3 linked regions of the Oryzias latipes genome follow. The protein of the gene in region 2 interacts with the protein of the main gene of each other region in a pairwise test. Links are inferred from orthologs where the notes say so. Each region holds a gene or a part of one and is shown on either strand. Other genes may lie near its edges.

Region 1 (4,173 bases), on a different chromosome or scaffold from region 2:
TAAAACGTTACACTCTTGTTCATAAAGAGGTAATGGAAAGATGGAAAAATCATCAAAAGGCATCAGATTACAGATGAGATATTGTTGTGATATGTAAAAAAAAGGCTTTATTTCCATCATTTACCCCTCCAAAATAACAGAAAACAAAATAATTGGGTGAGCAAAAGTTTGGGCAAGTATCACAGCTTGTAAAAGCTTTTTGTAGCCAGCTAGGAGCCTCTCATTTCTTGTTTGTGGTATTTTCATCCATTGAGGTGTGGATTTTGAGGTGTGAGGTGGATCACTATCCATTTGTAGAAGCCATCCTCTCTTCAACTGCAGCTTTTTCACAGATAACATCAAAATTTGCTGACATTTTGTAGAATTCATTCTTCCTTCTACTCATGACATGTTTCATGTGCCGCTGGCTGCAATACAAAACCAAGGCATGATTGTTCCACCCCCATGCTTAAAAGTTGGACACGGGTTCTTTTCATTAAACCCTGAGCCCTTTCTTCTCCAAACTTACCTTCACTCATTCTGGCCACAAAGTTTCATTTTAACCTCATTGTTCTACAGAAGTGGTTTCCAAAACGCATCAGGCTTGTTTACATGTACATTTGCGAACTTCAAAGGTTGAAAAGGTTGGTGAGGACGTAAAAGAGGTTTTCTTCTGATGACTCTTTCATGAAGACTGTATTTGTACAAGTATCTCTTTCTAGTAGAACATCGAACCACAACTCCAGAGTCTGCAAAGTCTTTCAGGAGGCATTGTGCAGTCAAACTTGGGTTTTGACTTGCTTTTCTCACAACCCTGCGAGCAGCTCTGTCTGAGATTTGTCTTGGTCTGCCAGATCTTGCCTTAACTTCCACTGTTCCTGCTGTCTTCCATTTCTTAATTACATTCCGAAGAGGGGGCTACTGGCATCTGAAAATACTTTGCTTCTTCTCCTGCTCTGTGAGCATCAACTATTTTCAGTTTCAGTTTTCTAGACAATTTTTTGTAAGGAACCCATGATGCTGATTGTTGGGGGAAGGTCAGATGACACAAGTTATCTCAAATCTTTTTGAGATTTAAATGACCACATTTTTAAAAATGATGATTGTGAACAATCCATGATACTGTCAGGTCTCAGCTTTTCCAAAGGGGCGGCGCATGCTTTAAATTCTGCATGGTTCCTATTATTTTACACTTTTGTTTTCTGTTATTATTATTATCAATAGTTTTTAAATTCTGCTTAGATTTTACTGTTGTGTTGTTCAAGCTCTAGGCTGGATTAATAAAAAATAAAAAAATAAATAATAATAATAATAACTACAGCATCAGCTGATTTTACCATCTTGACGAACATTTTTTTTACCATCTTGACGATATCACCTCTGTGTTCATCCAAAAATGTCCTGATAAAACACTGAGTAGTTAGGAATATGAAAGATCGTAAAATACTTTTTTCTTTGTGTTTATTTGATTCTATTAAAGACATTTTGATAAGAATGAGGGTACTGTGATTTAGCCGCAGCTTCAGTTCTGTTTTCGGAAAAGTCCCGCCCCTTTAACTGTCTCCACTAATCATTCTTGGAGGCCTAATCACATGTCATCAGTCTGACCAATCAGAAGTGGTTAAAGTCCTCACTTCCTTGTTCTGATTCTGCTCATAAAGTCTCTCAGTTTTAACAAAAATACCAGCTAAAGCTCGTGTTTAGCAATGAAGCTTTCCGCGGGATCCGGTGTCAGGCCATGGAAAAAGTGAACAAAACCATGAAGCTCAGAGAAGTGAGTCTATCTGCGTTCGGCGGCTGATTGTACTACATATCCCATGATGCATTGGGTTAAAGTGACAGCTGCTCAGCGTACGATGAATTTTCGTTGTTAAAAGTCTTGAAACCACAACGAACACGCATCAAACAGTTTTGAAATCTTTTAACTTAACTTTTATTACATCTTTTAGAAAAAAAACGGCTGCAACTTCCAGCTTTTTCTATTTTATCACAAAAATGCATGTGAAATTGTGGAGGGCCTGTAGATCAATGCAAACTATAAGTTTCTCCTTTTTTTAAATTTTGGATGCTGGTGTGCCACGGGATTTTGGTCAAGGTTAAAGTGTGCCATGGCTCAAAAAAGGTTGAAAAACACTGTTCAAGACCAGGGGTCCCGAAACTGCGGCCCAGGGGACGGACCCAGCCCGCCCACATATTTGACCCTGAACTTTACCAGAGAGAGTCAAACCCCTACCCTTTTTTTTTAGCATGATCACATAGCTTGGCCACGTGATCAAGACTCACGGAAGCATGGAAACTGGGGTGAAGTGGACCTTCCCAATGTCAATAAAGTTTATATGAATTGAAATGTGAGCTAAGCTAAAAATGTTGCTACTACTGCAACCTCACTTTGCCCCAGTCATGGAACTTGAATGTTACCCACCCCCACCCATCAGAACAGAAAACAAAGTTTACATAGTGACAAAAAAGTTCTGGCCCCCGATCAGAAATGGAAACCTCATGTGGCTCTCTCACTGGGAAAGGTTTTGGGGACCCCTGGTCTAGACAGCCTTACCTCTAGTCTTATTTCTTTCTTTAACAGTTTAATCTTCCCTTTTCCCCCTCTCCATCTAACATGACCAAAATTAAAGTTAAAGGGAATTAATCCAATATGTAGTGTATAAAAAAAAACAGGAAATAAAACGGATTTTTATTGCTCGTACCTCAGTCTCGTCTTCCCGACCTGTCAGGTCAAAAGTCCAACTGCTTTTCTGGATTCATTGCAAAGTTAAAGTAAAACATATATAAACTCCTAGTAAACCAAAATGTTAACATACCTAAGAAAATCGGGAACTAAGTATCATATTTTAAACAGATTCAATCAAAGAATTGTAAGCAATTGTATTCATCCACATTTCTCTGTTGTTTACGTTGCCGTCAGCTAAACCTCGCGATGACGATCGTTTATCTCGCGTGATTTCAGGTGTGTCAGGCGGTTTCTGTGATACGCGCCACCGACGTCGTGAAACGGGCGGTGCTTTACCCCCCCGTCTCAGCCGTGGAGTAAAAATTATTATTACCGTTGTAGTTTTTGAACCCCTCTACTTCCACCTTTTTCAGTTTTTCTTTTACTTTGTTGCCGTTTATATCTTTTTTATTTTATTATTACAAACAGTGTTCGCTAACATTTGCGAGCATAAGGAAAGCGAGGATCTTCTTCCTCTCTAGTCAGGTCACTATGAAGCTAACAGACAATGTGCTGCGGAGCTTCAGGGTCGCTAAAGTGTTTCGGGAAAATTCAGACAAAATAAATTGCTTCGACTTCAGTTCCAATGGAGAAACTATTATTTCTAGCAGTGACGACGACTCGTTAGTTTTGTACGACTGCCAGGAAGGAAAGTAAGACCCGCTTCTTCCGAGTTTGACCCACTGGTGAAGCTACTTCATGCTAGTTAGCAATAGCAGGGCCTGCTAGCTAGCAGTTCCCATTTAAAATATATTGTAGATGTTGATCCCCAACGGTTGCACTGTTTACTGTTGGAAAAGTATGTCTGGAACACAAACAAATTAATCTTAAGGAAAATATGTTTTCCTAGCAATTTGTGAAGTAATTGGATTGAACGATCCAATATATCTGTTGTTGTACACATATTTGAATCAACAATTTATATTTACATTGAAACTCAGTTGTTTAAACTCACTGCAGCTATAATTTTTAAATGGTTAATATTTTTTAAGTGTTTTTTTTTAGTATAACGTAATATGAATTCCTAACCTACAACTTATTATACAGTTAAAAACAGAACTGAGTACAAAAAACATCAAGAAAACCAAGTTTGAAGTAGGCTTTGGTTATTAGTCACATTTGTTTTACGTTTCCAGCAAATGATGGAAACAATGTTACGGTTGTAATACATTTGTTTGTTTTTAAAGAGCTTGTTTTATTTAAATCCATCCCTTTCCTATTGTTTGATTGATGGCAGACCCAAGAGGACTTTGTACAGTAAGAAGTATGGAGTGGATTTGATCAGGTACACTCATGCTGCAAACACTGTTGTCTACAGTTCCAACAAAATTGATGGTAAGTATGCACTATGTTGGTTCTTATGTTTGTGGATGAATCTGCCAAAGACCCACTCCACTGAAAATTGTGTTTTTGTTGTGTTGAACCCTTGTGATGGCGAACATGTATAAAGAAAATTAAGCTCAAAGGGC
Region 2 (4,052 bases):
GTTTGCTGCTGCTGCAAAACTTCAAAACTTTCAGTTCATGAATTGTTAATTTCAGAAAGATCAGGAAGGTTTCCTCATCTTTCATGTGGCGGCTCTAAAGGTGGAAACACTAAACATGAATCCTTCTACCAGCAGTGCATTCAGGGCTTATTCACTTTTTCCAAATGTTTTATGTCTTGTTTCAAATAGAGTAAACCTCAGGGAGGCGTCAGTTTATTAAATGAAAAGGGCCTTTTTGACATTTAAACCTTCAAGGCACCAGAACCTGGGTTTTTTTGCATCGTTTTTCTTTATTTGGGCCTCAGAGGTCCACAGACATTCCCTTTCTGACATGTTCTGCTGAATGAAAGCTCTCATGCAGACAGGTAGGTGTCCTCTCAAACCCAACCGACTCCAGAACCGCGGGTGGACGTCAGTGAAGCCCACGCATCTCAGAGATGATCCGAGCAAACAGGAGACACCGGGGTTTCATTTAAGCCTTTGACGCACTATTGATGCAAACCGATGCTTCTGCTTCATACTCACCTTAAAGAAAAAACAAAGTGTTTTTTCATAAAATTTCCGGGGGTAAACAATTACTTAGTTTTCTTTTATTTTAAAATCTTTTCTTTTTCCCAGTGTCCAAAAAACAAAAGTGTTCTTTTTATGATTTTGTGCTATTTCAAACAACAATAAAAAAAAATTTCACCCAACATTTGCTTTAAGGGATTTCAAACATTTTTGTCTAAACATATATTCTTACGTTGAAATAATAATAAATAATATGATTGTATTATTCAATATTATAGAGTCTCTAATATAATTTCTATTGTCTATGTGGAACTAAGTTTTGAAGTTTAATAATAAAACTGTAATATTTTATGTTTGGAGTACCATTGTACAAATGTAAATACTAAGATCATGAGGACTTGGTTTTAACCAGTTCGGAAAATTGTGACATTCTGACAATTTTTTTTAATGTAATTCTTGTGGCAAATTGAACACATCTTTTATTTTTTTACAGTTCCCTTTGATCCAACAGTCGTAGTTTTCTTTTGCTCAACCTTTCCTCTTCTGAGTATTTTGTCGTACCGTTTTGTCTCCGTTAGGGGGCAGCAGAGTTTTTGAAGATTCCAAAAAGAGGAAGAGGTTGTTGTTTTAAAAGAAGAAGAGTGTGAAGTTCAGGGAGACTTTGTAAACGTAATTTTGAACGGTAATGTGTTCTTCTTGAAAGGTTATTTGTTCTTTGGTTAATAAAGCCGCGTACTCTGGTCTTTGAAGTGTTTGGCTTTAGAATTAAAAAACACACAGATCTACTCAAGAAATGTACATTCTCCCATCTGTCCCCGACTCACCACAGACTTTGAAAAAAAAAGAGGTAATGAAGGACGCTTTTTGTATAGTGGGGTTTAAATGTAAGCAATTTAAAGTCATTTAAACCAGCAACACTAGCAAGTAGATATTTATGTTTGTTTTGTGCTTGCATGTTTTTACAGATTAAAATTCTGTTTTACGAATCTGAGTTGAGCCAACCTGTCATCGGTTTGAATGCAAAAATTCAGAGGGCGCGTGAAGGCAGCTGGTGGAGCAGAGGAGGAACCTTAGCAACGCAGTTGTAAAGCTAGCGTTTCCCCTGATAGAAATGTCAACATGCACCTTGGTGTTCACGGAGAGCGCGTAGTGTTTTACCTGCAGGCCTCTTCATGCTCCCACGTTCATAATGAAGCTCTTTAGTGAGCCAAGCTAGCCCCGCGGACTTTGGCTTTGTCGTAGCCCCGATCGGCTAGCTAGAACGAGCCGCCGTTAGCTTAGCTAGTACCTCGGTCGGTGAATATGGCGATTGTGTCTGGATCGTGTTCCCGGGTGAGCAGCTCCAGAAACGGGCCGTCGGTGTCCGCCGCGCCGTCCCCGTCAGTCGGACAGTCTCAGCCAATGATAGCGGTGTGGGAATGGCAGGACGACCAGGGCTTCTGGCGGCCGTACAGCGGCCAGGTCTGCTCCCACATCGAGCGGTCCCTGTCCCCGCGGGGCCACCGGGGAGCCGGACCCAGCTCCACCAGCGTCTGCCTCGGACAATCAGATCCCAGTCTGTCCCCCTACCTCATCGACATACCGAGCCTGAAGCAGTTTCGACAGGATACAGGTAAACCGCTTCAGCACCACACCTGAAGTCCGGATTCAGATCAGAGATTCTGGTTTCCGTCGTTCATTTTGTCTTTTTAAACTGCATTTCTGAGAAGATGATGTTGGTTCAGTCAGCTGGTCTAGAAAGCAGCAGTACACTTTAAGTTTATTTTATTAAGTATACTTGAGTACACGTATAGCTAGAATACTAGAGACTATGTAGATTTAGTGAAGTAACTGAGTATTTCTTGGAACATTTTGAGTCCAGGAATAGACAGTATGGAAGTGAACTTCAAGTGCATCACTTTTAGTATAGACCAAGTACCTTTTGTAGTACTCTTACAAAGAGTACTGTCTTGCTGAAGGTAAACTCATTTGCGGGTTTTTGTGCAGGAACCACGCGCTCCGTGCGCCGGTCTCTGTTCCCCCAGTCTTCGGGCCTCGGCAGTGGCGTTTACTGGGAATGGGCCAACGATGAAGGGGGCTGGACTCCGTACGAGACCAGAACTTCCATCCTTCTGGAGCACAGTTACCAGGCCCGCCAGGGGACCGCCGACCTGGGCCCTCACGGATACAACTACATTGTGGACCTCACGTCTTTCGCCCAGGTCAACAAATCAACGGGTTTCAGACGGCAGGTTCGTAGACTGGGCAACTCCCCGTTCCCGCTGGCGTCCCCGGGGCCCCCGGCTGTCCCCTTGGGGCCGGCCTGCTCCTGCCAGCAGTGTTTGAGCCACAGCAGCACGGGGCCCATGCCCAGCCGCTCCCGACATTCCTTTTCTTCGGGGAGTCTGAACCGACCCGGCCTGCAGGGACCAGGAAGGGCAGCCGCGACCCACCCCACTTCCGTCTACTCGCCGTATCCCCGGAGGCCCCACTCTGTTGGGGGGATATCCTGGGGCAGCCCCTGGCTCCCCCCTCCCTCTGCCAGTCAGATCTCGGCGTCGCACCTGAGCGGCTCCGCCAGCGCCAACGGGCTCAGGTGGGTTCCGCCTCTCTGTCCGGGGTTTCTGGTATCTGCTAAAACGCTGCCGGTCCCGTTCCAGTCGCCAACACGGATCTGAAGTCACTTTGTGGGGTCAAATGGTTTTACCTGAACAAATGTGGGACAGACATGGATAAAATAGGAACTCTTACATTTTGATTTGATTTGATTTTTGATTTGAAATGGTTTATTTCAAGCAATCAAGGAAGAAAAATACACAAAAACAATACAATCAGCATATTTTATTACATGTTTTATCTTTATCCGGTTCAGAACTTTTATCAGACAGAATTAAGAATCTTTTGGTGTCAATAAATCTCATGATAAAGATGAATTTCTTAATTATTATGTAAAAATAGACATAACTCTATTTTAGAAATAGCAAATGCAGATCAATTATCTAAAATATAAGCTGATTATATTCATTAGAACAATGATGTATATGATTAAAAAATAATACTATATCAGTAAAATAGACATAACACTGTTTCAAAAATCTTCAATATCAAAAATTGATCAAAGTTCAAAAGTTAAAAATATGTGCAAAATTAAGTTTCATTAAGAAAAACCATGAATCCATTTTTGGAGCAAGTGAAGTAATGTAATTAGAAATCACTCATTTTAACCATCTTCGATAATTGATTATGCATTATTTTTATCTTTATTTTATCTTTTTTTTATTTTAAGGTAGTTCTGTGAAATCAAATAAAATGAGAATAAAATCCTTGGTTGTGTCTGAATTCCCACCCTAACCCCAAACTACATAGTGCAGCACTGTGTAGCGCCCTGAATGTTAAAGCGATTCGGACGCCACGCTCACTACTTGTATTTTTTAGACGGCGGATATGACGTCATCGATTTCACAAAGTTAAAATCGAACTGATATGAGCGTTTTTGGACGAGTATTTATGAGTCTACTGTCTTCTGAAGATAAAAACATTAATGATTTATTAAAAAAATACAT
Region 3 (4,174 bases), on a different chromosome or scaffold from region 2:
TGAAAAGAGCTGACAACAAGCTTTAGATTCAAGCGTTAATGAAAAACAACTCAAATAAAGAAAATATTTATTTGGCTGCATAATTTACACGGCCTAAGAAGCAGCTGATACATGCGAAGACAGGCGAACACTCATCTTTCAAACCCATGCTCTCCTTTGCTTTTGAGAAAATCAGTAATGAATGTAAAGTAAATTGGCAAAGTGTCTCTCAGGAGGAGTAGCATTTCACACATCAGCAGCACTAGAGGGCTAATGTAGAAAACTACTCATAAAATCATCAGCATGATGTTTGTTGCTTCAAAAGGGAATATTTTATTGTGAAGGGATGCAGCCTGAAGATCAGCTTACAACAGAATTTAAACTGGAGCAAGAATTCTCAGAGAATTGATTACATTTATCAACTAGAGCATTCACTTTAATATAAATAAGGGGCATATAAGAGGGATGTAATTTGATTCATTCCATGTATAAATATTTGCAATAGAATGTTAAGGCATGAAAAAAAGATGCCAGAGAGAAGCAAGGCTACCCCAAAATACAATAAATTCAGAAATAATATAAAATAAAACAAAGAAAATGTGGGTACACACACCAAAGATCATTTCATGATAAAGGCTGACATCTTAATAAGAAGATGTAACCAAAAATTTGCCCACTTCGTCTCATTTTAGTAGTGGTGTTATACGGAACCTTGGACATGACATAAAACAAAAAAAAAAAACGTTATTTCAAATCAATAATTTGTTGTCACAAATTAGTATTTTGTGGGAACAGATAAGTATTTTGTGGCCCCAAATGAGCATTTTATTAGCATTTAAGGGCACAAATTAGTTTTCTCTGTGCACAAACGTGTATGTTTGTATCTTCAATTCCTACTACTATTACTAGTTTGTGTCCCTAAATACTAATTTCTGAGCCCATAATGCAAATTTGCGCACACTAAATGCCAATCTTTGCCTACAATAAAGACATTTATGTGCACAAAATGCAAATTTTGTGCCCACGATAAGCTAATTTGTGCCCACAAAATATGGATTTGTGCACACAAAGCTCTAATTTGTGCCAACAAAATTTGAAATACGAATTTGTGCACACAAAATTTTACTTTGCGCCCACAAAATGCTCATTTGTGCTCCAAAAAAATACAAATTTGTCCCAGCAAATACAAAAGCGTATGCACAAAATGAGAATTTTATGCGCAATAAAATGCCAATTTGCAGCCACAGAATACAAATTTATTCACATAAAATTTGTATTTGAGCATACAAAATTCTAATGTGTGCACATAAAATGCAAATGTTTGCCCACAAAATCCATATTTGTACCCACAACATTCCAAAATGTTAATTTGTACCCTCAAGGTGCTCATTTGTGCCTACAAAATGCCCATTTGTTCGCACCAATAATTGTTCACAATATTATTTTGAGGGAACAATTTTGTTTTAATGTCATGCTCAGGGCTCCGTAGTTTCTTGATGTGAACAACTGTAGATTTTTCCCCCTGTTTTTGTACACAGCTAGCTGCCTTTTTTATGATTTTTCTGAACAAGACTAAAAGTAACTTCTTGGTGCCCTATAGTCCCTCCTCCCGTTAGAAAAAAAAAGAAAAAGAAACTTGAATAGAGACAGTCTCCCTTCAAGGAGTTTACGGTTGTAAATCAGCTCTTTCATAGAGTAACAGCCAGTAGTGAGTGCAGACAGAAAGTCAGTGTGTGGACGTCGGTACCGCCGCGTCAGCGTCTCCGCTTGTGAGCTGACTCTGTCGGGCTATCGAGCGGCGTCACTCCCAGACGGCGCGGCGTCGGAGCGAGAGGCGGCCGGAACTCGACGGAAGCAGACAGGGTAGGACCGCGGCTCCCTGCTGCCGCTCACGCTTTCTTTGGACGGCGACTGTGAGCTCCTCCTGCTTCAGGTAACAACACCACGAGAGCGCCAAAAAGAAATCCATTACGGGGTTCCATCTACCCCCCCCCCCCCGAAATAAATACCCGGCGTGGGTACTTTAAACCCTACGCGTAAACACTGACTGTCGAGCTCTTTGCATGATTGTCGCCGTTGTTGTCCTGGAGCCATTACCTGCGTTGCTATGGCACTGCCAGGCAACATCCCACCTGCTGCTGCCGTGACTCTTTACATTTCTTTTTACCTGTTAAATGTGTATTTTTTACTTAAAAAACATGTCAGTACAACTGTGTAGATGACTTACTGTACTCATAATACAGCTATCTAAAGCAGTATTGTCGGATATTCGTGTTTTTGCAGGTTTAACAATTCTGCTTTCTTTGAAACACAGACACATTTGTGAACCCTAAAAGCTCTATTTTTTGTCTTTCTCTCCCAGCAACTTGGTTAAACCCTGAAGACTTAAGCAAACAGAAGATGGTGATTTGCAGCAGGACGTCCCCCAGAAGGACCCCCCATGCTGCGGACACAGAGAGCAGATGTTTGCACTGAAGGTGCCCACTAGTGCACACAGTGGTTCCTGTCCTGTTCCCCAGAGAGCTGCTGTGGTTCATTCCAACGCAATGGTTGCACAGAAAATGCACTACATGTCCTCTGGTCCGCTGAGGCCAGAAGAGACCTATGAGTCAGAATGTAGGAGGAAGAGGAAAACTCTCACTCTTCAAATAGTAAACTTGGTGGACAGTTGTTTATTTTTAAAGCAGCTCGTAGGGGAGTCGTGATTAATCAACTTAATCGATGAATTGATTTCTGTTCCTAAAATCCAACCAGTTCGATCTGTCTGAGGAAAGTTATTTATCCAATCAACCTATACCATTATAAAATGGGTTCAAAATGATATAAATCGATTGTAATCAATAATGGAAAATACCATTTGGATGGAGGCACAGTAGGATAAAAATAACTTAGTACCATCGCAGCAGACAACACACATGCGATAGCAGCAATCTGTGAGTCACACTGGTTGAATTTTTGTCTAAAGATGTCCTGGATTGATTTTGGTTCAATGACTCGAATCGTTTAAAATGAACCAATATCGGCTATAAATTGTATCAGCAAACACAAATTGAGATATAAATCGAATTGTGGTTAAAATCAATCGTTACACCCCTAGCAGCTCTAGATCTAAAATTTCCTTGGCATTTGTAAAGGGCAACAGACACATTTTGTATACATTCTCACGTTCATGAATTACAGTTGAATGAGTGCAGAACTCAGGGCAAGGGAAGACTTTTAAGGTTCTATCTATTGTGTTTTAGTGTACACATCTTATCACAGCTGTCAAGGGGGAGGGATTTTGTACTTCAGTAACTTACCCGGAGCAGTAGAGATAGCGATGGGGAAGGGAAAAGTAGGAGGGGGTTAGGAGAGTGGAGAATGACTGTGAGGGAGTAATCTTGCTTTACCCAGCCTTTAAGTGACTCTTGTATCCAAGGACGAAGGTAGCAACGCATCAGAACGCCACTCTTCGCCCACGGACTGCTGTGGAGAAATGAGGCGAACACATAGGCTCTTGGCAACGCTTACTTTAACCCAACAACCTGCTGGCCCTGCTTCACAGAGCCCCTGGGGTTTGATGCATCTGTTTGGAGAGCGGGGACCGATGACTGAGCAGATCATGACCGCAGCTACACTGAAACTACTAGAAGGATAGGATCCCATCTTGAATGGGTGCTTCTCCTCTTTTTTTTCATGCTCAACTCCGTCAAAGCGAACATAAAAAGTCTGGTTGTCTTTCCTTCGTTGCCCGTTCGGCCACTGAGGCTCAAACGTCCCACGTTTGCTGTATGTTTTTGGCAGAGGAGAACACTGGAAAGGAGGAGGTAACAGGTGCCTGCTTGCCAAGGTGAATTTGGAGGAACATCATGGGGAAATCAAACAGCAAGCTCAAACCCGAGGTGGTTGAGGAACTGACAAGGAAAACATACTGTGAGTACTGACAGCTCTTTTTTTTAAAGCTTTTCTTTATGTTGGAAAAAAAAATACAGAAATTCTTTTAAAGGATGTGATGGGTGGAAACTTAGTCTTTGAATCAAGCTAAGAACATCTTTATATAGATCTTCTCTGCTTATTAATCCTCTGTGTAGAATGTGGAGAGGATCAAATTCCCAGTCCAATCATCTTTTTTTAAAATCTATTTTAAGTGTTCCAAGTGGTCTTTTAATTATAGTTAGGCCGTTTTTAGACAAAAACCTGTGTGGTTTTCTCGGAC

What was found. The genes of interacting proteins can lie anywhere in the genome.
Region 1: the proteins of probable E3 ubiquitin-protein ligase DTX2 (region 2) and glyctk interact in binary tests that used the Homo sapiens proteins (3 or more experiments, as listed by UniProt). The two-hybrid records come from large-scale screens. The link is inferred for Oryzias latipes from reciprocal best matches to the Homo sapiens genes DTX2 and GLYCTK.
Region 3: the proteins of probable E3 ubiquitin-protein ligase DTX2 (region 2) and ncs1 interact in binary tests that used the Homo sapiens proteins (3 or more experiments, as listed by UniProt). The two-hybrid records come from large-scale screens. The link is inferred for Oryzias latipes from reciprocal best matches to the Homo sapiens genes DTX2 and NCS1.

Annotation. Positions count from the first base shown.
Region 1 is NC_019863.2:8,153,811-8,157,983, reverse strand, and holds the start of glyctk (glycerate kinase), read right to left. Parts: upstream 2,881-4,173; 5' UTR 2,682-2,880; intron 1-2,681. Other genes in the region: wdr82 (WD repeat-containing protein 82), read left to right, coding at 3,197-3,357, 3,942-4,039.
Region 2 is NC_019872.2:28,224,249-28,228,300, forward strand, and holds the start of probable E3 ubiquitin-protein ligase DTX2, read left to right. Parts: upstream 1-1,172; 5' UTR 1,173-1,812; coding exon 1,813-2,122; intron 2,123-2,496; coding exon 2,497-3,085; intron 3,086-4,052. UniProt on the Homo sapiens protein: Regulator of Notch signaling, a signaling pathway involved in cell-cell communications that regulates a broad spectrum of cell-fate determinations.
Region 3 is NC_019867.2:19,620,837-19,625,010, reverse strand, and holds the start of ncs1 (neuronal calcium sensor 1), read left to right. Parts: upstream 1-1,294; 5' UTR 1,295-1,912; intron 1,913-2,341; 5' UTR 2,342-2,456; intron 2,457-2,499; exon of another isoform or gene 2,500-3,523; 5' UTR 3,524-3,633; exon of another isoform or gene 3,634-3,762; 5' UTR 3,763-3,827; coding exon 3,828-3,891; intron 3,892-4,174. UniProt on the Homo sapiens protein: Neuronal calcium sensor, regulator of G protein-coupled receptor phosphorylation in a calcium dependent manner. Directly regulates GRK1 (RHOK), but not GRK2 to GRK5. Can substitute for calmodulin. Stimulates PI4KB kinase activity.